Saccharomyces cerevisiae S288C: one gene and its partners. The protein of the gene in region 2 binds, or shares a complex with, the protein of the main gene of each other region. Each region holds a gene or a part of one and is shown on either strand. Other genes may lie near its edges.

Region 1 (5,630 bases), on a different chromosome or scaffold from region 2:
AGTTTGTCGGACCCCAAACAACACATTGTATGATGACTTCCCTAGCAGAATACAAACTACACCAGGAATTTGCAAGGCCACATACTACCTTGCAGTTCCATTCTGATTTGGTCAAGGATAAGGGAATTGTTTTTATGAATGGCCATGTTGAACCGGATACAAACGTGAATGTACAGGATGCACAGCTGTTATTGCTAAACGTGCAAAGGTTTTATGGTGCAATGGGTGAAGAAACTCCAGTTGCTAAACAGAGAGTGCAGTTGTTAAGAGATTTCTCTAAGGCCTCTCCGGGATTCACCGTCGAGAAATTGATTTCGCTATCACAGTCCATGGAAAATTAACGAAGAATTACTTCCGTATACGTATATATATATATATATATATATTAATGACACCTGTAAATAAAATACGTACTACATCATCTGCGACAAGCGTACAGTTTCTTTACACAGTTATCAGCATGACTCTTGTATTTTCATAATGAAAAATGAAAATAAAAATTTTAGTAGATGAATATAATACGCAGAAAGAACAGGCTAAAAAAGTACGAAAAGCAACTTCATTATATTTCCGCATTCATCCTTCAATTATGGCCAGCAAGACTTTGAGGGTTCTTTTTCTGGGTCCCAAAGGTACGTATTCCCATCAAGCTGCATTACAACAATTTCAATCAACATCTGATGTTGAGTACCTCCCAGCAGCCTCTATCCCCCAATGTTTTAACCAATTGGAGAACGACACTAGTATAGATTATTCAGTGGTACCGTTGGAAAATTCCACCAATGGACAAGTAGTTTTTTCCTATGATCTCTTGCGTGATAGGATGATCAAAAAAGCCCTATCCTTACCTGCTCCAGCAGATACTAATAGAATTACACCAGATATAGAAGTTATAGCGGAGCAATATGTACCCATTACCCATTGTCTAATCAGCCCAATCCAACTACCAAATGGTATTGCATCCCTTGGAAATTTTGAAGAAGTCATAATACACTCACATCCGCAAGTATGGGGCCAGGTTGAATGTTACTTAAGGTCCATGGCAGAAAAATTTCCGCAGGTCACCTTTATAAGATTGGATTGTTCTTCCACATCTGAATCAGTGAACCAATGCATTCGGTCATCAACGGCCGATTGCGACAACATTCTGCATTTAGCCATTGCTAGTGAAACAGCTGCCCAATTGCATAAGGCGTACATCATTGAACATTCGATAAATGATAAGCTAGGAAATACAACAAGATTTTTAGTATTGAAGAGAAGGGAGAACGCAGGCGACAATGAAGTAGAAGACACTGGATTACTACGGGTTAACCTACTCACCTTTACTACTCGTCAAGATGACCCTGGTTCTTTGGTAGATGTTTTGAACATACTAAAAATCCATTCACTCAACATGTGTTCTATAAACTCTAGACCATTCCATTTGGACGAACATGATAGAAACTGGCGATATTTATTTTTCATTGAATATTACACCGAGAAGAATACCCCAAAGAATAAAGAAAAATTCTATGAAGATATCAGCGACAAAAGTAAACAGTGGTGCCTGTGGGGTACATTCCCCAGAAATGAGAGATATTATCACAAATAATATGTTATATAGTCTTTTTATTTATGTATCCTAAAATCTCGTCAAAGCGCACTTTTATATGCTTAAACCTGGCAATGTGGAACTCTTGATGTTTGAATCGATGCCTGGGATTTCTTGACGCGGTTTCTTGTTGATGAATCCATTCATGTTTGGTAACGCATGTGGTTCAAGTGTAGCTGGTGGTGGCGGGGCCGCACCGAATTCACTCTTCTCTCTCACAGCATTGATGTCGTTATTGATGCCAAAAAACCATCCATTTATCTTCTTATTGTTATAAGTTGGATCATCATATGCATTAGGATCAATTGGCCTCGCTCTAGTCCAAAATCTTATGGTTCTATCCTTAGCTGCTGTGGCAAATATATGTCCTACTGGATTATATGATAACGAGGTGATACACTTATCATGGGCGTATGGAATAGTCAAAATAGGTTCGTTTAGATTTTGTAAAAGATCAAAATGCTTTAGCGAGCCGTCATAGCACGCCAGAGTGAACATAGATTCATTTATTGGGTGCCATTCTAGTGTCATATAATCCGTTTCATCTCTTACACACATTAGTTCCTTCATACTGTATCTAATGTCGAACACACGACACGATTTATCTTTTGAAATCGCCATTAATAGATTTCCCTTGGTGGGTTGAAATCGCGTCTTCAAGACAGTATGTTTGAACTTCAGAATTGATGATATGCAGTTTCCGGAACGCGGATCCCACAGTTTTACTAAATTGTCCTTAGATGCGGAGGCAATTAACCCCATCTCGGGATGCCAATCACAACTTTTCACGTCCCAGTGGTGCCCCGATAATACTCTTTCTTGTTTGCCATTGCTGAAGTTCCAAATCTTCAAGATATTATCATCTGAACAGGTAACAAATTTCGAGTCGTTACTACTGAATGCCATATCCCTAATACTTTCCGTGTGTGCAGCATCAATTTCTTTAACCATACTAAAGTTTGGTTGCCATATCTTAATCATTCCATCTGCGTCCCCACTAATCATCCAATCACTGTCGTGAGAATATTTCATTGTAGTCACAGCCGAATCATGTGCTTGCATGAGGGTTTCAAACGTAAACGAAGATGCGTTCCATAGAGAAAATTCTCCGCTATAAGTTGCTACTACAAGTCTTCTGCCTTCTGGGGTCCATTGGATGGCGGGTATCACATGTTTCACTTTATTCGAGCTTAAATGCGTAAATTTGCTGGGCAAATTTATGACTCGATCTCGACCTCTGTAGGCATTAGGCGGCATTATATCTATTGTGTATGAAGTTTCTGGCTCTACCACTAGGTTCGGTAATCCATGTCGTCTGTTGTAATATAGGTTAATATACGGAGAACTCACGTCTACCGATCGTCTCTGTGTCACATATTTCTTCAGAGGTGGTTGTTGTGACTGCTGAATTTGATTCTGATTCTGGTACTGGTTCTGATTATGCCCGTCCATAACGTGTCTATGTTGAGCTTCTTAATATCTACCCAGCAACCTGTATATCAGTGCTTTCTTTAATTATACTTCCCTTGACAAATCGATACGTCGGCCCTCAAAAGAAGAGGAAAAAAAATAGAAAAAAAAATAGAAAATAAAAATGTCAGTAATTCTAATGATGACACAAATTCAAATAGCAACATTGAATACTGTTTAACAGAACAATTAACCACTTTTAATTAGAAATACTAACAAAGAATTTGTTAACGTATTCTTAGGAAGTAAAGTACTTCAATTATTGCTAGAAATGACTGCTCAGATTCCGTATCAACATAGCTCGGGATACATCTCTCATTTTCACAATAATGAGCTTGATGCAGGCAGGGGAAGGGATTATAATGTAACCATTAAGTATCTAGATGATAAAGAAGAAAATATAGAAGGCCAAGCAGCAAAGATTAGTCACAATGCGAGTCTGCATATTCCCGTTTTATTGTGCTTGGTAATCTCGCTTGGTGGCTTTATTTTTGGATGGGACATTGGAACCATCGGTGGAATGACAAATATGGTTAGCTTTCAAGAAAAATTTGGCACAACTAATATTATCCATGACGATGAAACAATTTTTGTATCTACTAAGAAACTTACTGATCTGCAAATAGGCCTAATTATCAGTATTTTTAACATCAGTTGTGGCGTAGGGGCTTTAACTCTGTCAAAAATCGGTGATTGGATTGGTAGGAAAGGTGGTATATGGTTTGCCTTAGTAGTGTACTGCATCGGTATAACCATTCAAATTCTCTCCTATGGAAGGTGGTATTTTTTGACATTGGGAAGAGCCGTAACGGGAATCGGTGTGGGAGTAACCACTGTCTTGGTGCCAATGTTTCTCTCCGAGAATTCTCCACTAAAAATCAGAGGCTCCATGGTATCTACGTATCAATTGATTGTAACATTTGGCATACTAATGGGAAACATTTTAAATTTCATATGCGAAAGATGTTATAAAGATCCTACACAAAATATAGCCTGGCAATTGCCATTGTTCTTGGGATACATTTGGGCAATTATAATTGGAATGTCACTTGTTTACGTTCCTGAATCTCCACAGTACTTGGCAAAAATCAAAAATGATGTGCCCTCTGCTAAATACTCTTTTGCGAGGATGAATGGCATCCCTGCGACGGATAGCATGGTAATTGAATTCATCGATGATTTGCTGGAAAATAACTATAATAATGAGGAAACTAACAACGAATCAAAAAAGCAAAGCTTAGTTAAAAGAAACACATTTGAATTTATTATGGGAAAGCCAAAGTTATGGTTGAGACTGATTATTGGTATGATGATAATGGCATTTCAACAGCTGTCCGGAATAAATTATTTCTTTTATTACGGAACGTCTGTTTTCAAAGGTGTCGGGATTAAGGATCCTTATATTACTTCAATCATACTGTCAAGTGTTAACTTCCTTTCTACGATATTAGGCATATATTACGTGGAGAAATGGGGCCACAAGACATGTTTATTATATGGTTCAACAAATTTATTATTTTATATGATGACATATGCTACTGTGGGGACATTTGGAAGAGAAACGGACTTCTCAAATATTGTTTTAATTATCGTGACTTGTTGTTTTATTTTTTGGTTTGCAATAACATTGGGCCCAGTTACATTTGTACTAGTGTCCGAATTGTTCCCTCTAAGAACGAGGGCCATATCAATGGCTATTTGCACATTTATCAATTGGATGTTCAATTTCTTAATATCACTTTTAACACCAATGATTGTATCCAAAATTGATTTCAAACTAGGATACATATTTGCTGCTTGCCTATTAGCGTTGATAATATTCAGTTGGATACTAGTTCCTGAAACGAGGAAAAAGAATGAGCAAGAGATCAATAAAATATTTGAACCGGAGTAGATATTACATAATATAAATAGAAGAAGTAGCAAAGTGCAGTTTTTTTTTCCATAATAAATAACCATCAGTAACTAAGTGGCCGTGAGGACTGACCACATTTTCTTTACATACAGTAAAGTAAATAAATCTATCAAATATTTTGATTATTACTTTTAGATAAAACCCTTCTCTATTAGAAAATCTCTTATTATATCCCAGTACCCATCTTGAATAATAGTATCATTGTGTGAACCAAGTGGAAATTCGAAAATCTTTTTGTTCGAACTAGGACATGTTTCGTACAGTTTCCTCATGTGGAAGGGTGGAACGATTTCATCTTTTAATCCACTTAAAAACAAGAATGGCGTCTCTGAACTACAGCTTCCCATAAGGCCTTCTGAATTCCAGATTTCGTGACATAAAAGCGTAAAGCGTTTCAAAAGGGGGAAAATATATGGGATAACTTTTCGAATACTCAAAAATGTATTCTCCAGTATAACGCCATCGCATAGATCCCGAAATTTTGAAGCAATGTAAAGAGCATTAGCACCACCTAGAGATCTACCATACAATACTAGTTTTCTCTTTGAATGGAAAGAATCCGTTGACAAATGCGATATGACACAATCAGCGTCCAATTTCAAACCCTTTTCGCTGGGTGAACCTTCTGAGTTACCATAACCACGATACGAA
Region 2 (6,058 bases):
CAAAGAAATTGGCTACTATTACTTGAAGGGATATAGAATGTGTGTATTGGATGTGCCACTCTTATTTGAAGGAAATCTGGATTCAATATGCGGAGTGACTGTAAGCGTAATTTGTACGCAAGAATTGCAACTAGAAAGATTAATGACAAGAAATCCTGAACTTAGTGAAGAAGATGCAAAAAACAGGCTAAATAGTCAAATGAGCACTGAAGAAAGGATGGCAAGATCTGACTATATCCTACAAAATAACAGCACATTGGTTGACTTATACGAACAGATTGAAAGTGTTGTAAAAAAAATCCAACCTAGTAAATTAAGAACTGTTTTGGAGTATTTCCCACCTTTTGGGGCCGTAAGTGCCAGTAGCATCGTCATGTCCAGATTACTGATGAAAAAACTTCAAAATAAAAAGTCTTCAGCGGTATAAGGTTGATATCTTATAATTACATTATATAAAATGAGTATATATACTACATGTTTATGTATCAGCATGTCATAGCTTAGTGTACTGGTCTTGGAGGATATTTATTTCTTTTTACTATGGGGACATGCTTGTATGGCAAACCACCTCTGTCCTTCCTTAGTAATAAACTATTTTTACCGAAAGCCTTTGCTATAGTCGGGGTTGAGTTCGTATTTCCATTTAAGTCGAATTCTATGGGTTCTCTTGGCGGCCTTTTATTCAAGTCCGGGTTGAAATGATTGAAATTTTTTCTATAGATCAACGGGGTCCTTGTTTCACAATGTATTGGGCCACCTTTAGTCTCGGATATATCCATATAGTCATCACTGTTTGTGTTCTTCAGAAACATCAAATCAAGAGGTTTTAATTTGATTGACATATCCTCGAACAATATAATTTCCTTCGGTTCCCCCTCCTTGAATGGTTTCAGAATTTTTTTCAATTGAGTAGGAGAAACTTGTAGCCCTTGGTTCGGTAGATCGTCACCGTAAACTTTTATTAGTTGGGAATCATCCAAAAATTTGATGCTACTTATGCGTGCTTTTTTCGGTTTACCATTTCTCAAAATCGATTGTACATTAGAGTCTTGCACGGATATTTTGGTTTTTTTTTTTAAGGGCTCTTCTGAAGAAGCAGGAGTCGCTACCGTTGTGGTTGACGATCCTGACGTTGACGAAGATATGATATTAGAAGCCACCGTGGATGCTTCGGGGTTGACTTTGAAATCCACATCTATTGACCGTTTAGTCCCAAGCTTGGTCATATCTGCGTCATCCTTGTTCAGATATTTAGAAAATGATAGTTTTTTCTTGGAAGAAGTAGGTAGAGATTCTGTAGACTTAGCTTCATTTTTATTGAATAAACCCGACTTCAATTTCTTCATTGAAGAGGTAGATGCAGTAGGCGATGGAGAAGAATTTTTGTCATCGTTATTGAGCAAAGGAGAAGGTTTTAATTTAGTTTTCATCTTGACTTTTGATTTATCCTTCTCCTTCTCCTTTTCTTTTTCTGAATCCTTTATCTTTGCTTTCGAACTAGCCAATTTCTTTTTGAGGTTGGCCTTTGTACCAGTACTATTCGAACCCTTTTGGAAACCCAATGTATCTAATAATTTCATATAGGATCGTACATTTTCAGCAACGGAAGTATCCAAGACGCATAAATTGATGACTGCATCTACCAGACCATCCATTTTAGATAATCGATTATGGCTATTTTTATTCAGGATTAAATTGTCAATGTAATTTTTCCTTTCCTCGGGAGAAAACTTAGGCAATTGGTTAACGAAGAAGTCCAGGGAGACATCATTAGCGATGGGCGGTGTAGAGTGGTGTTGTTTCTCATGCTTTAGTTTAATTAGCTGGTTCAAATAATCTAGATACATTGATTTTAAGCCAGAATACAGCTGTATATCTGCTTCAGTCACGTTCTTTTCCTTCCGTTCTATGTGCAAGTTATCTTTGGTAAACTGATTCAAAGCCGCTTGCAAAGAATCGATATACTTGTCAATTCTTGCCAGTTGAATGGAAGATAATTTGCAATCTTTATTAAAATCTACCATATCCAAACGAATTTGCTGGATAGTGGAAGCTTGCAAGGCATGAGAAATATTTACTAATTGAGGAACAGGTGCTGACATTGTTCAATTCTTCCACAGTGTCTTTACTTATCGTATCGTTTCTTTTCTTTTCCTTTCTTGGTCCTTTCGATTTCCTTGTGCCTTTGCTTGTAGGTTTTTGAGCTTTAACCTCACTTACTCACACGATGTCTTGATAAAAGTATATATAATATATATAATAGACCCGCCAAAAGAAACCGTTGGTGTGCCGACGTGATACAGAGCGGTAGAGTACAATACAGTACAAAAGAGTTATGCTTGTTTTGTTCTGCCTCCAACAGTGTATGCTTGTTAACAAGTGCCTCAATCGAATATCATCGATTTTTTATACCGCCTTGAGAAAAACTGACGAAAAACGCTGGCGCCGGAGAGTCGTGTATCGTGATATATCGTGATTTACAACTGGTAATATATAGATGAATACCGTACCCAATTCTGATAATAACAAGTAGGCTGGAGTGATATATGGCACTGTTTTATTTCAAAAAAGCAAATTAGCAACCTCAAAGTGTCTTTACTTATGGATGCTTCAATCATCATCTGTTTCATTCTCCGTCTGTAGTGATATTATAGAAAGAATAAAATTTTCCTATAAAAAGAAGGGAAGTATTGATGGCCACTATGGTGTCTCAGAGTGGCAAGAAAATACCAGAGTTGCACGTTAGGCTGATAAATGTTGACCTCTATATTGATAAAAGGTCGCACACCTGTTCTTGCAAGCAGAAATTTATTAGCAGCTCTCTCGAATTGCAACCATATTACTTGGGCTGTTTCAAGAAGATTATACAATGATGGAAACAGAGATCAAAGAAATTTTGGTAGGAATCAGAGAAACAACAACAGTAACAGGTATAGAAACTCCCGTTTCAATTCTCGCCCAAGGACAAGGTCTAGAGAAGACGATGATGAAGTGCACTTTGATAAGACCACTTTTTCCAAACTAATTCACGTCCCAAAAGAAGATAATAGTAAAGAAGTAACGCTGGACTCTTTACTGGAGGAAGGAGTCCTTGATAAAGAAATACATAAAGCCATTACCAGGATGGAATTTCCCGGTTTAACTCCTGTACAGCAAAAGACTATCAAACCAATATTATCCAGTGAAGACCATGATGTTATCGCAAGAGCTAAAACCGGTACAGGTAAGACATTTGCCTTCTTGATTCCAATTTTCCAGCATTTGATAAATACGAAGTTCGATTCTCAATATATGGTAAAAGCTGTTATTGTCGCACCAACAAGAGATTTGGCCTTGCAAATCGAAGCAGAGGTGAAAAAAATCCACGATATGAATTATGGCTTGAAAAAGTACGCTTGTGTCTCTTTAGTTGGTGGTACTGACTTCAGGGCAGCTATGAATAAAATGAATAAGTTGAGACCAAACATTGTAATTGCCACTCCAGGGAGATTGATTGATGTTTTGGAAAAATACTCCAACAAATTTTTTAGGTTCGTAGATTACAAAGTGCTAGATGAAGCTGACAGATTGCTAGAAATTGGATTCAGGGATGATTTAGAAACTATTTCTGGTATTTTAAATGAAAAGAACTCCAAATCAGCCGATAATATCAAGACTTTGTTGTTCTCTGCTACTCTGGACGACAAAGTACAAAAGTTGGCAAACAATATCATGAATAAAAAAGAATGTCTCTTTTTAGACACAGTAGATAAGAATGAACCTGAAGCACATGAAAGAATTGATCAGTCTGTCGTCATTTCAGAAAAGTTTGCCAATAGTATATTTGCTGCTGTGGAGCATATAAAGAAACAAATAAAGGAAAGAGATTCTAATTACAAAGCCATTATTTTTGCACCAACTGTTAAATTCACATCCTTTTTGTGCAGTATTTTAAAGAATGAATTTAAGAAAGATTTACCAATTTTGGAATTTCATGGTAAAATTACTCAAAATAAAAGAACAAGTTTAGTTAAAAGATTCAAAAAAGATGAATCCGGTATTTTGGTTTGTACGGATGTGGGAGCCCGTGGTATGGATTTCCCAAACGTCCACGAAGTTTTGCAAATTGGTGTTCCATCTGAGTTGGCTAATTATATTCATAGAATTGGTAGAACAGCCAGAAGTGGGAAAGAAGGATCTTCTGTGCTATTCATTTGTAAAGATGAATTGCCATTTGTTAGAGAGTTGGAAGATGCAAAAAATATAGTCATTGCCAAACAAGAAAAATATGAGCCCAGTGAAGAAATAAAATCTGAGGTCCTAGAGGCAGTGACCGAAGAACCGGAAGACATATCAGATATTGTAATAAGTTTAATCTCATCCTACAGATCCTGTATCAAGGAATACAGGTTTTCTGAAAGGCGCATACTTCCTGAAATTGCTTCCACTTATGGTGTACTGTTAAATGATCCTCAATTAAAGATTCCAGTATCCAGAAGGTTTTTAGATAAATTAGGTTTGAGCCGTAGTCCAATTGGTAAGGCAATGTTTGAAATTAGAGACTATAGTAGTAGAGATGGAAATAACAAGTCCTACGATTATGATGATGATTCAGAAATTTCTTTCAGAGGCAACAAAAACTATAATAATAGGAGCCAAAATAGAGATTACGATGACGAACCGTTTAGACGCAGCAACAACAATAGACGCTCATTCTCCCGTAGTAATGATAAAAATAATTACTCCAGTAGAAACAGCAACATATATTAGAAAAGATAAAAAAGGAGGACCAAGAGATGTGGGTTGTATTTTAAATAACAATTCCTCTATTAAGACGCCTGTATTTTAGACCCCATCTTGATTCAATACTTTCACGTGTAAATACCTAGTATATAAATATTAAACAAAAATTTTTTTTCTTCTCCTATTCTCTTAAAATGATAACTATACGAAGATCCTACTGGTATATTTATTCGTCAATGCTTATTTACGACCGGTACCTCCATTCTTACTTTCGCTCTTCCTCCTCTCAAAGGAAAAGTAATTCTAACATTGTAATTCTTATTTAAACGGATGGAAGAAAGCTTTTGAGAATTTACTTGAAAAGTCAGGGTGTCTTAGGCGATTGATCACGGACATAGCCATATTACGAAAACTTCATTCTGAATATTGCCAACGAGACAATCGTGGGCTTGGTAATCGTTGAAAAATTTTCACATATTTTATGAACAGCTGAGCCTATTAACAATGAAAATAGTCTATACGATAGTCCAGAACTGAATAACAGTGTCAATCACTTTTTTTTTTATGATTAAATCCTAGTTAAAGTGCCGCTCTGCGAAAGAAAAATCAATAAATACCATTTGTTAGTGATCTAGCAATAATATCAATGACATCTTGTCTTATCTTAAAAATAAACAAAAAATTCTTTACAGTGTACTGAGCATTAATCTGGCTACGGCCTGGAGGGAAATTATGTCTTATACGAATTTTGCTCCGGCAATTCTATTTACGCTGTTTAGCTTATCATGCGATTTCAACCTTCTTTATATAGTAAATTAGCTTCGAAATAAAAGTATTCGCGAGAGGACAAGACATGAAACCTAAACCACGACGCTGAAGGTAACGACATCATAATACGTTTCAAAGGGCTAACCTTAATATACTGACATCTAGAAATATATTAATTCTGCATATCAAGAAACACGCCGACTGAGGGTGCAAGGTATTTGAAAAAAAATAGTGAATCAATAGATGAGCGCACAATGTTTAAAGTACTATAACACTGAACTGTTGTACTTTAACGCAAAAGCTCATCAAGCTATCATTAAATTTCGACCCGAGCAACGACTCAACTGTAATGTCAGCTTTCGGTAACCCATTCACGTCGGGTGCTAAGCCTAATCTTTCTAATACAAGTGGTATCAACCCTTTCACAAATAATGCTGCTAGTACCAATAACATGGGAGGAAGTGCATTTGGAAGACCTAGTTTTGGAACAGCAAACACAATGACAGGAGGAACCACCACTTCAGCATTTGGAATGCCCCAGTTTGGTACCAATACAGGCAATACTGGC
Region 3 (6,418 bases), on a different chromosome or scaffold from region 2:
GGTCTTTCCGCCACGAGCAGTTCTACCTACTCTATGCACGTAGGACTTAGCCGTCGTAGGTAAATCGAAATTGAGGACACATGCAACATTTTTGAAATCAACACCACGAGAAACACCATATTCCTTATCTTTCTTCACTTGGACCTTCTTTTTCTTGCTTGGTTTCTTATCGTTCTCAGGCTCGCCTTCCAAGCTTTTTTCTTCTTGATTTTCTGTATTGTGCCCTTCTTCTATTTCGTCATCTTCCTCTTTTATGTACTCGGTGTCATCTGTGGCAATCAATAGTTGGTAAACGTTTTTATTGAATTGGTCAACAATATGTTGCCTCGAATTAACGGGTAGCTCGCTGTTTAAAATACAGGACTTGATACCAAATTGTTCCATAACTAGCTTGAGCCTATATCCTCTGTCAATATTATTTACAAAAATTAATGTTTTACCCTTGATTAAGTTAAGTTTAAAAATGACATAGCATAGTAAGAATTTGTCAAATTCACTGACTTTAACGTAATATTGAAGTAATTTGTTTTGGTTCTTATTTATTTCCTCGTCATTGAATTTAAGAATAGCTGGAGAACGACAAAATTTTTGTTTCAAAGCCTGTATATCGTCATTTAGGGTTGCACTCATCAAAAATGTTTGTAAATTTTTTTTCAATGGTAAGTACTCTCCAATTTTGTTTAAATCATCTTGATAACCAAATGTTAACACTAAATCCACCTCATCAACTACTAAAAATTTTAGTTCGTTCAATGAGATAGAATTAATCTTTGTTTGCAACAAATCCAATAATTTACCAGGTGTACCAACTATGATTTCTGGTTGATCCATAAGTAGAGTGCTCAAAACTGAGTCAGACATATCGGATGATATGTTCAGAGTTCTTATATCTTTTGAACAATATAAGACTAGTTTTTCTAAAACATTATATACTTGTTGAGCCAGTTCTCTTGTTGGAACAAGTATAATACCTAGTGTACCATTTTCCTCTCCGTTATCAATTGTTTTTTTATATTCTAGGATAGTTTCAATTACAGGAATGAGGTATGCCAAAGTTTTTCCGGAACCTGTAGCGGCCTTTGCTATAATATCTCTCTTCTGTTGTAAAGCCAAAGGAATAGCATGTGATTGAATTAATGTTGGGTACTGAAATCCTATATTCTTAATAGCTTGTAATAAACGAGAGTCGAGATGAAATGCTTCGAACGTTGTAGAATCGTCAATATAAGCGCCTTCCACAGACTTTTTCTCATAGCTCATTTTTTTGATCTTTCGTTGCAGTTTTGGCTTAGTCTATTTCTTTTGTGAGATAAATTGTAGATTGACTATAACTATCAGCCAAAACAAAAGGCTCTTACTCAATGAAAGAAATTAGAAGAATCGAAATGAAATGAGATGAGATGAGATGAGATGAGATGGTCTAGAAGAGTTATTCTTTATGTTCGTGAAAAAAAATTTTTAAAATTTCATCTCTAGGTTTCATTACGTAAAGAGTGATTAAGGTAAACAATAAAAGGCAGTTCTAACCAGATTTTGGTTTGGTATTACTTCTATAAAGTAGTCTACTTAGTATGCGTAACTGTTTTTAACATAGCGGTGTGACCAAATTACCACCAATATTTAAGAGGCTTTCCACCCTACCTTTCAAAGGATTTGAATTACATTCTAAAATTTTCATATTGTTGAAGTCAATCTTAGCAGTGCTTTTACCTATGGTAACCACTCCAGTTATAGTTTCCTCTTTATTACTTGCATATTCATCTTTATTGAGAAATAAAGTAAAACAGTCACCAAACTGTTCTTTAAACAACCTTGAGATTTGCTTCACCCTCTCAACTTCATCAATCTTACCTTGTGCATTAGACTGCACATTGTTATGATCATGATCATCACAAGAATGACTCGAAAGCTTGACACTGGCGGGAGCTGAATCCACATTCATAAGTATAGCAATAATGGAGTCTGCTACAGTGTCATTCATTAAATCTTGAGTCCATTCCACAACGGCTAGAGTATTAACAATAGTTAACTTAATATCACCCATTATCTGTAGAATCAATTTACCTGTATTGGTCAGATTGTCTTTTGACTCTTCTTTAACCTTTGGTTCTTGATTTGTTACTCTATCATCATCTTGAAGAACTTCAGCCTCTCCAAACATTTGTAAAATGTGCCAGTAAATTAGCTCCTTTTTACAATTTACACGAACTGACTGGCGCTCTCTTAATATCGTTGTAGAAAGATCGGGATGGTGCTCTCTTAAATCAGACAAAGAAAGGAAGTCTAATTCGAAATTTTTGTCATCTGAAACTAGAATCCCAGAAACGACTATGTCTTTGTGTTCCTCTTCATCAACCAAACCTTTTTCTGCTTGAGAATCCAAGTTGTCTTCGTTTTCTTCCTTTATAGGTTCAATTTTAGCCGCAATTTCTTCCTTTATCTCTACGTTTTCTTCTTTATATATTTCGTTCACAATATTTCCCACAGCTTTTGCAACCTTGACACCTTGAAATTCAAGATCTACTTCAACACAGTTTCTAGGATTAAAAACATGGACTTCATTATCTGTACCCTTTAAAGACGCGAAATTGGATAACAATGCAGATTTCAAACGGCCCATGGGATTGGCTTCTCCATGAACAAGGATGATATTTGGCGCACTAATCTTTTCAATAAATTCTAAATTTTCCTGGAAGTCAACGTGTGCGGCAAAGGAGATTTCTTCAACTTGACAACGTCTTGGAATGGTTATTTCCGGATTATTTATGGAAGGTATTGTATCTGGCTCAAGCATAATAAATTTCGCCATTGTTCCTTCGATGGAGTAACCGGTGATTAGTACTAGATTTTTATCTTCAGGGCACCACCTTTCAAGTAAATCTCTTGATAACCCACTTTGCAGCATACCTGGTGAGGCCAACATCACACTGGGACCAAAATCTTGGAAATCCTCCAAGTTTCTAAGATAAGATATATTTTTGAATATGAAGGGATTAGTCTGAGAGTCTCTAAATTTTTTTCTAATGTCATCATTCATCATATTTACATAGGTTTGAAAAACGCTCATACATTTTTTTGCCAAATTTGATGCATAAAATATTGGGACTTGTCCACCACCGAGTTCATCAGCATGTTGAGACCAGTACTCATCCAGTATAAGCATGATTTCTTGAGCTCTCCCTAAAGCAAAAACAGGCAGTAGAACACGGCCTCCTCTCATCACTGTGGAATGGATTAGTTGGGTTAGCTTCCTTTCTCTATTTAAACGGGGCTCGTGAGTAGCGGTACCAAAGGTAGATTCCACAATTAATACGTTGGATGAAAGTGGAGGCACCTCAGCAGAATTTAAGTGACGATCTACTTCTCTCGAATAGTCACCTGTGAATAACACCCTAAGGCCAGCAATCTCTATTTGAAACATCGCTGCACCCAATACATGGCCTGCATGGAATGCCGTAAATTTGATACCATTGACGTCAACAGTAGAATGATAGTCCACCGTTTCAATTTTATCGAAAGAATCAACTAAATCCTCATCTGAGAATAGACCTTCGTCTTTAGTCCCCATAGAGGAGGATGAAGAACCTATACTAGTAACTCTTACAAAATCTCGCAGTAGCCATCTGTAAATGGCTTTGGTTGGATGTGTCATGAAAACTCTGCCTTGAAAGTTAGTCCGTTGCATCACATACGGAAGTGAAGCGGCATGGTCTAAATGGAAATGTGATATCAGTAAGATATCGACTTTGGAAAGATCAAATTCATCGTAAAAAGGTAATGAAGCTAATCCTTGATATGCCGGATGAATTCCTGCGTCGAGCATCACTGTTTTACCTTTATATTGCAATATATGACATGATCGTCCAACTTCGTTACTTCCTCCCAATGAAAAAAATTTGAATGTTGTTGTATTTGTTCGCTCCATATATGCGTATACTTATTAATGTTAACTTATTATGTTACTTTTTATTTCCTCAATGGACAAAATTCAATTGATAATACAATGTTTCTTTTGTGCTGTAACTTTTGAAGTACTGAAAACAAGGGTAAAAGAAATAAACGCTTATACCCGTGAACATTTTGAACCTATTAGATGTGATCTCAATATGTATTGCGCTGAAGCAGTAGAAGTTGTTAAAGATCCGCTAGTTTTTCATAATTTTCGGCCAGAATAACTGCTTACCCGTATTTATTTGCAAACACGCTACTTAGTCTTTTGGAGAGGACTTTATACAGGAAAGAAAGAGTTTTATTGATTTTAAAAACAATATAAATGAAAGAAAAAAATGTGTTTTAGATTAGGCTTATAAGATATGACCCATATCATAATTAAAAAAAGCGATTTAGTTGTTCTTTTAAAAAAAAAGAGAAAAAAAAAAAAAAAAAAAAAAGGAATGAGTTTGTACATACTATTATATTAATGTAGTATCACGTTAAAAAGCCGTAGTCATCATTAATCGTCCAAAAGTCTTCTACCGGACCAGATGTCATCATGTTATCCCAGTTAGAACGCTTTTTCCTGATGTCTGCGTTAGTTACTGTAGGAATAACATTGTCGAAATGCAGATTTGCGCTAGTGTTTGCTTCCACCTGTGTTTTAGGTCCATTCTTCTCTGTTTCGTCAAGATTATATTGTACACCTTCCTGATTGGACATCATGAACAAATTTCTGTTATACGAAGGGTCATTCTGCGTCTGTTGAAAATTATTAGCGGTTACATTGTTTTCAGAACACATATTTTGTTGTTGATGTTGTTGCTGCTGTTTGTCCATGGACAGAGATGAAGGCTCTTGACTCTGGGGAAATATTGTTTGTAGTATGGACTTGCTATTCAAAGCATCTAGAACGGAGTTATTGGTCCAGGTGGAAATATTGTTGATCATGTCATGAGCACCGTTGCTGAAAAGTATATCGCCCGAAGAAGAGCCATTTCGAGCTTGTTTGACACTGACCGGAATTGAATTGCTAGTAAATGACGCTGGTATCGAGGAGATAATATTATTGCCATAATCTGCTCTTAGGGGTGATGTACTGAAATTTGATTCTTCGACATCTCTTAATTGCTTATTTTCACTTGTATGGTTAGAGAATATTGCAGATTGTAGAGGATTACTGTTGATCATACCATTGTTTAATTGATTCGTAAAATTGCTTTCTGAGAATCTTTGTGGAGAAGTAATATGTTGTTGTGGCTGCTCCCGCTGTTGTTGCGGCAGTGGTCGTGATACATGCTGTTGCGGTAGCATATTGGAAGTTTGAGGATATGGAGTTGGGCTTTGCGTCATCGCTATTGGAATCGGATCCGAATGCGAAGAGGCTGTAGATATGCTAGAAGATTTTGAAGGACTTCTATTGGTCATAGTATCGGTGTTCAGGGACGATAGATACGCTTGTAAATTGTGCTGAGCTAGTTGCTGTTGTAGAAAGGCCTGCTGTTGAAATACTTGCCAATCAAACTCTGTTTGGTTGGTTGGTTTCTTGACGATATATTGGTCTTGAATAGGCCTTTCTACATCATTTTCCATAGTTACGTTGTTGTTACGAACATACTGGCTGTTGTTGCCATTATTGCAGCTGTTGTTGGTAGTGCTTCTGCTATTACTTTCATTATCATTATTATTAACATTATTATTATTATTACTATTATTATTATTATTGTTATTATTATTATTATTATCATTATTATTGTTGTGATTATTGTTGTGTTCTCTGTTGACGCTGCTGATGGTCATACCATTGTTATCATTGTTTACATTGATTTTCAGGTTTTTTTCTTGGGAAGAAGGAAACGATAATGTCGACGATGATGACGAAGAAGAAGATGATGACGAAGAAGATGTTGTATAAGACATTGAAGAATTTGAAATACGTGACCTGTCATCCATTTTGGTTAATAGGTGAGCTAAACTTTTGGGTACAGAGGTCTTTTCTAAAACACCTTGCTTCTTCTTGAATTTCTCTTGTTCAGCCAAATCCACTTGTGAATTTTCCACAAAACCGGCGTGCTCTTCAGCTTGTCCTTTACCAAATATTCTAGCCACAGCAGGCGGCATACCGCCATTATGAGATATATTTTTATCGTTTGAATTGGATAGATTAGCTGCATTTGCGGAGTTAGAATCATGAAGAGTATCCCCAGATGAAATTGCCTTATTGGCCTCATCATTGATGTTCTTGGGTTCAGTACGCTTGGCGACACTACTAGCCATGAAAATTAACTCAGAAGAGTCTGGACCACATCTTTCAATCAAATTACCTACCGTGGCATTCATTAACTGATCGAAAGTATCTCTAAAGGTTCTTGCAAAATTAGACCTTTCTGTCATAACATATAAACAAACGGAGCAAGCTCTCAAATCATCCATCGTCGAAAAGAGACTTGCACTGATTAAAGGTCTAGTATGCTTCGAAGCATCG
Region 4 (4,989 bases), on a different chromosome or scaffold from region 2:
TGCCGAATAATTTATTATTAAGAATCGGTCATCCTGCTAGGCTATTAGACTCTAATAAAAGACACTCTCTTGATATACTTAGTAAAAAGAATACTATTGTGAAGGACATTTCCCAGGAGATTGACAAATTAATTCAGGAGAATAAAAAACTAAAAAACTATAAGCAACGTAAAGAAAACTGGAACGAAATTAAACTGCTGCGCAAAGATTTAAAGAAAAGAGAGTTCAAAACCATTAAGGACTTAATAATACAATCGAGAATAGTCGTCACCACTTTACACGGTTCATCATCGAGAGAACTATGCTCCCTTTATAGAGATGATCCAAATTTCCAGCTTTTCGATACCTTGATCATCGATGAAGTCTCACAGGCCATGGAACCACAATGCTGGATCCCACTAATTGCACATCAAAATCAGTTCCACAAACTAGTCCTTGCTGGTGACAATAAACAATTGCCACCCACAATCAAAACAGAAGACGACAAAAATGTCATTCACAATTTGGAAACCACACTATTTGACAGAATAATCAAAATATTCCCGAAAAGGGATATGGTAAAATTTCTTAACGTTCAATACAGGATGAATCAAAAAATTATGGAATTTCCATCGCACTCAATGTATAATGGGAAACTATTGGCCGATGCAACGGTCGCGAACAGACTTTTGATAGACCTACCGACCGTCGATGCTACGCCATCTGAGGATGATGACGATACAAAAATTCCTTTAATTTGGTATGATACGCAAGGTGATGAATTTCAAGAGACTGCAGATGAAGCTACTATCCTTGGATCTAAGTATAATGAGGGCGAAATTGCCATTGTAAAAGAACACATTGAGAATTTAAGGTCATTCAACGTCCCGGAGAACTCTATAGGTGTTATTTCTCCATACAATGCACAAGTTTCTCATCTGAAAAAATTGATCCATGATGAATTAAAATTAACTGATATTGAAATATCAACTGTAGATGGGTTCCAGGGCCGTGAAAAAGATGTTATCATATTGAGTTTAGTTCGTAGCAATGAAAAATTTGAAGTTGGTTTCCTTAAGGAAGAACGAAGACTGAACGTCGCCATGACAAGACCCAGAAGGCAACTAGTTGTTGTTGGCAATATAGAAGTTCTGCAAAGGTGCGGTAACAAGTACCTAAAAAGTTGGTCAGAATGGTGTGAAGAGAACGCTGACGTAAGGTACCCCAACATTGACGATTATTTGTAAAGAATACACAAGATGTATAGAGTATACGTCGTTATACAGTAGGTAAAAAATGTTCGTTATATATTATATCCTCTAGTATATCAATGCAGTAGCAGCAGTCATTCATCGTACACGTAAAAATCTACTGTTTCGTCTGCGGTAACAAACATCGAATATTTAGGGTTGAATGCAATTGACCTGGGGCAGGTCTCATGAGAAACACAGGGAATGAACCCTTGCGGCCTTAATACTTTGTTACTTATTGAATCAGAATGATTCCAAATGGCAATCCTACCGTCATAATCGGTTCCAAGGACGAATTCACCATCTGGTGTGAAACAAGCAGATCCAGAATCTAGAAATTCTCTCATCGGGAAGGCCCTTGTTCCTATTAGTTCGAATAATTGTTGACCTGTGAATGCGTCAAAAATTAAATGCTTTCCTATCGAGGAGCCAACTAATAAATACTTTCCATTGTTAGAAAATTCTAATTTATTCCATTGACTGAAAGTCGCATCATTAATTTTAATTATCAAGAAAGGACCCTCCTGAATTTTTTTCAGATTATATAGCCCTATTTCGAAATTCTCTGGGTTCCCCAATGCGAATACAAGGCCACTTGGATCATATGCGATACAATTTGGTACGAGACTTGGTATAATAACTTGCGGTTTAGAGATCTTCAAATCCCAAAGCCTAACGGATTCATCGTATGACGACGATAGAAACGTATCGTTCACGGGGTTCATCTTCAAATCATTCACTAGGGCGCCATGACCGGAAAAATATCTTAGATATTGGTTTGTTTCCAGATTAAGGTATTTAATGTCAAAATTTTTCATTGTAGAGGAATAGATACATTCGTTTTGTGCGTGCGTAAAGATAGCGGAGTGACAGCCATATTTCTTAGAGGCTATAGTGTCCAAGAATTTGCAGTTCGTGGCACTGTACAATTGCATTGTATCGTTGGAAGAAGAGGTCAGTAGAAACTGGCCATTATCGTCGAAATTCAATGAGGTTACGGGTCCGCAGTCTTTTTCTTGAGGTTGAAAGCTTTTAACATGCTTGAATTTCAGCAGGTTGGGCTTATTGATGGACACGGTGGTCATTGTTGGCTATGCTAAAAGGACAAACGGTGTATTTGCTTGTGCTTTGCTCGATATTTTAGTCTTGCTTTCATTTTTTTTCTTTCTTTTTTAATGTACTAGTGCTAAACTGCATGAAGAAAAAATGGGTAAAAAAAGGTATCGAATAAATGAGTGTAGGTAACAGTTAAACAGCAAAAAGAAGGAGCAAAAGAGAGTGAAGATCAGATCGTAACATATTGCAAGATGTTGGGAATGATAAGGTGGGTAGTAGAGGGGACGTTGGTAGCTATGCTCCTATCGGCAATAAGAAGGGAGACGGGAATGATATTCTTTTACAACCAGTATCAGTTGGGCGGCTGGATACATAGATATCTGTCATGGGGAGAGATGTGCTACACAAGGACGCTGAAGATGGTTAAACGTTCTAAATTTTTCAGAAAGCAGTTGAACGAGGACGGGTTTGGACGCATCAATGATAGCGGTCCAAAACGAAGGGGAAGAGATCAATCTCAATACAGCAGTAGGTTTGTAGAACTAGATTAAACTTGCGTGCATGCACGTACACACGTAAATATATTCGTACAAATAGAGTGCTTACATATATTCAGTTCAGATTATTTATTTTGTGGTGCCACAAGTTTTTTCTAATAGGATCGTATTTGATTGCTAGCAAGCTATAGGCCTTAACAGCGTTGTCTCGGGTACAAGGGTCTGCCCCCCAGTGATATGCCAGGAATTCCAGGGCATATGAGGACTCGATCTCGGGCAAATCCTCTGGTGAGCCAATTGGAAGTGACAATACGTCACCGATGAAGGTTGTGGCGAAGTCGACTACTTTGCTATCCCACTGTAGCCTATCATGGAATAGCTCTTGGAAACCACGGAGGTAGGTCCACGGACTGATGTTCTGCGGAACCAATTGAATCTTGTCCATAATGAACTGGAGCTCGTCGGCCAATTCCACTTTTGAAATGACATCTTTAGCGTTCACCCAGTAAAACATCCTATGAGTCCATGCGCTGTTGTTATAAATGTCTGTCTCGATGAGGTCGCTGGCGTAGGCGAGCTCATGTTGAAAGTCACTGAAGAACAAACAGCACCACTTTCTGTACGACCAAACGTGATAATTCTTGGAATCATCATCAATCATCAGTTTTAAGATAGGCAGCTCTCTTTTGAAGGAAGGAGACGGATGTAGCTTCAAAAGAGACTGTCTATAGGACCAGATCTGATAGTTCTTTGGATTATTCAGCGTAACTTCATCTAGCCAGTCTAATTCCTTGTTCAGGTACAAGACAGTGTCTTCGGATTCACTCATCATGTGCCTGACGATATTGAATCGGTAGTTCCATATGGTGTAGAAGGCTGGCGCCACGTCGATAATTTCGGCTGTTAGCTGTAGTGCCCTGGGTGACAGTTCGTTAAGGCTGATCAGAGCCCTTGCGAGTCCCATCAACCGCTTATAATCCTCGGTATACATAATCCTGCACAGTTCATCCTGCAAGTCTGTCTCAATGGGCAAAGGTTTAACGTCTGAATAATCGTACTCCTCCATTTTCGATGGTGTACGTTGTATCAGCACTTGATATATAATATACCATAATTAACAGTCTTGCAGTAGGTCTGCACCAACAGTTAAGGACCAATTTAACAGAATGTCAAAAGCGAAACTTTGCTGATGTGTTTTATCACGAGGCCCAATCGAAAACCGGCGCGAGCACTGCTGCAACCTTCAAAAATGAGAGAGCGCTTCCCAGCAGGTCTCTAGTTGCATATGGATAGCGTCATGATGAATATAGGTCAGCATAGGGCTCTGGAAGGCCTGGCATTATCGGTTATTGTCGCTATTGCTGCCCTTTTCTCTGCTCGTGTAAGGTGACATTGTTGTATTCCCGCTTTTTTCGTTTCAATTTTAACGGCAAGGAGCAACCATGAAAGTAAGATGATCGCATGAACTGAAAATGTCAACGAAACTCATTCAAAATAATTATACTCTAGATATCCTCTAAACGACTAATCACAACAGTAGTACACCACTGAAAATGATGAGTGGCACAGGAAACGTTTCCTCGATGCTCCACAGCTATAGCGCCAACATACAGCACAACGATGGCTCTCCGGACTTGGATTTACTAGAATCAGAATTACTGGATATTGCTCTGCTCAACTCTGGGTCCTCTCTGCAAGACCCTGGTTTATTGAGTCTGAACCAAGAGAAAATGATAACAGCAGGTACTACTACACCAGGTAAGGAAGATGAAGGGGAGCTCAGGGATGACATCGCATCTTTGCAAGGATTGCTTGATCGACACGTTCAATTTGGCAGAAAGCTACCTCTGAGGACGCCATACGCGAATCCACTGGATTTTATCAACATTAACCCGCAGTCCCTTCCATTGTCTCTAGAAATTATTGGGTTGCCGAAGGTTTCTAGGGTGGAAACTCAGATGAAGCTGAGTTTTCGGATTAGAAACGCACATGCAAGAAAAAACTTCTTTATTCATCTGCCCTCTGATTGTATAGCGAAGGACAAGTTTTTCACCAGCTCGGACGATCCCACCAACTTGACAATACCCAATAGGGACATCAACGAAAGGACTCTTTTCTTGGACGCCTTTCTTTTGTGTGCATCTAACAACAATAGCAACAACTTCAAGCAGACCTATGTTTGTAATAGATGTATCAACAGGGAAAAA

The links.
Region 1: REF2 (region 2) and PFS2 share a complex: the UniProt entries of both Saccharomyces cerevisiae proteins name them as parts of the cleavage and polyadenylation factor (CPF) complex.
Region 3: REF2 (region 2) and YSH1 share a complex: the UniProt entries of both Saccharomyces cerevisiae proteins name them as parts of the cleavage and polyadenylation factor (CPF) complex.
Region 4: REF2 (region 2) and SWD2 share a complex: the UniProt entries of both Saccharomyces cerevisiae proteins name them as parts of the APT complex.

The regions. Positions count from the first base shown.
Region 1 is NC_001146.8:38,035-43,664, reverse strand, and holds PFS2 (cleavage polyadenylation factor subunit PFS2), read right to left. Parts: upstream 3,047-5,630; coding exon 1,649-3,046; downstream 1-1,648. Other genes in the region: ATP11 (Atp11p), read left to right, coding at 1-341; prephenate dehydratase PHA2, read left to right, coding at 590-1,594; HXT14 (Hxt14p), read left to right, coding at 3,336-4,958; YNL320W (uncharacterized protein), read right to left, coding at 5,111-5,630. UniProt on the Saccharomyces cerevisiae protein: Integral and essential component of the cleavage and polyadenylation factor (CPF) complex, which plays a key role in polyadenylation-dependent pre-mRNA 3'-end formation and cooperates with cleavage factors including the CFIA complex and NAB4/CFIB.
Region 2 is NC_001136.10:844,643-850,700, reverse strand, and holds REF2 (RNA-processing protein REF2), read right to left. Parts: upstream 2,103-6,058; coding exon 501-2,102; downstream 1-500. Other genes in the region: CAB5 (putative dephospho-CoA kinase), read left to right, coding at 1-427; YDR194W-A (uncharacterized protein), read right to left, coding at 2,478-2,630; MSS116 (ATP-dependent RNA helicase), read left to right, coding at 2,755-4,749; FG-nucleoporin NUP42, read left to right, coding at 5,840-6,058. UniProt on the Saccharomyces cerevisiae protein: RNA-binding component of the cleavage and polyadenylation factor (CPF) complex, which plays a key role in polyadenylation-dependent pre-mRNA 3'-end formation and cooperates with cleavage factors including the CFIA complex and NAB4/CFIB.
Region 3 is NC_001144.5:695,571-701,988, forward strand, and holds YSH1 (cleavage polyadenylation factor subunit YSH1), read right to left. Parts: upstream 3,926-6,418; coding exon 1,586-3,925; downstream 1-1,585. Other genes in the region: DBP9 (ATP-dependent DNA/RNA helicase), read right to left, coding at 1-1,260; YLR278C (uncharacterized protein), read right to left, coding at 4,429-6,418. UniProt on the Saccharomyces cerevisiae protein: Component of the cleavage and polyadenylation factor (CPF) complex, which plays a key role in polyadenylation-dependent pre-mRNA 3'-end formation and cooperates with cleavage factors including the CFIA complex and NAB4/CFIB. Has endonuclease activity.
Region 4 is NC_001143.9:401,427-406,415, reverse strand, and holds SWD2 (WD-repeat containing protein SWD2), read right to left. Parts: upstream 2,315-4,989; coding exon 1,325-2,314; downstream 1-1,324. Other genes in the region: ATP-dependent 5'-3' DNA helicase HCS1, read left to right, coding at 1-1,226; MCO12 (Mco12p), read left to right, coding at 2,537-2,836; RAM2 (bifunctional protein farnesyltransferase/protein geranylgeranyltransferase), read right to left, coding at 2,898-3,848; SPT23 (Spt23p), read left to right, coding at 4,336-4,989. UniProt on the Saccharomyces cerevisiae protein: The COMPASS (Set1C) complex specifically mono-, di- and trimethylates histone H3 to form H3K4me1/2/3, which subsequently plays a role in telomere length maintenance and transcription elongation regulation. Involved in mediating RNA polymerase II termination.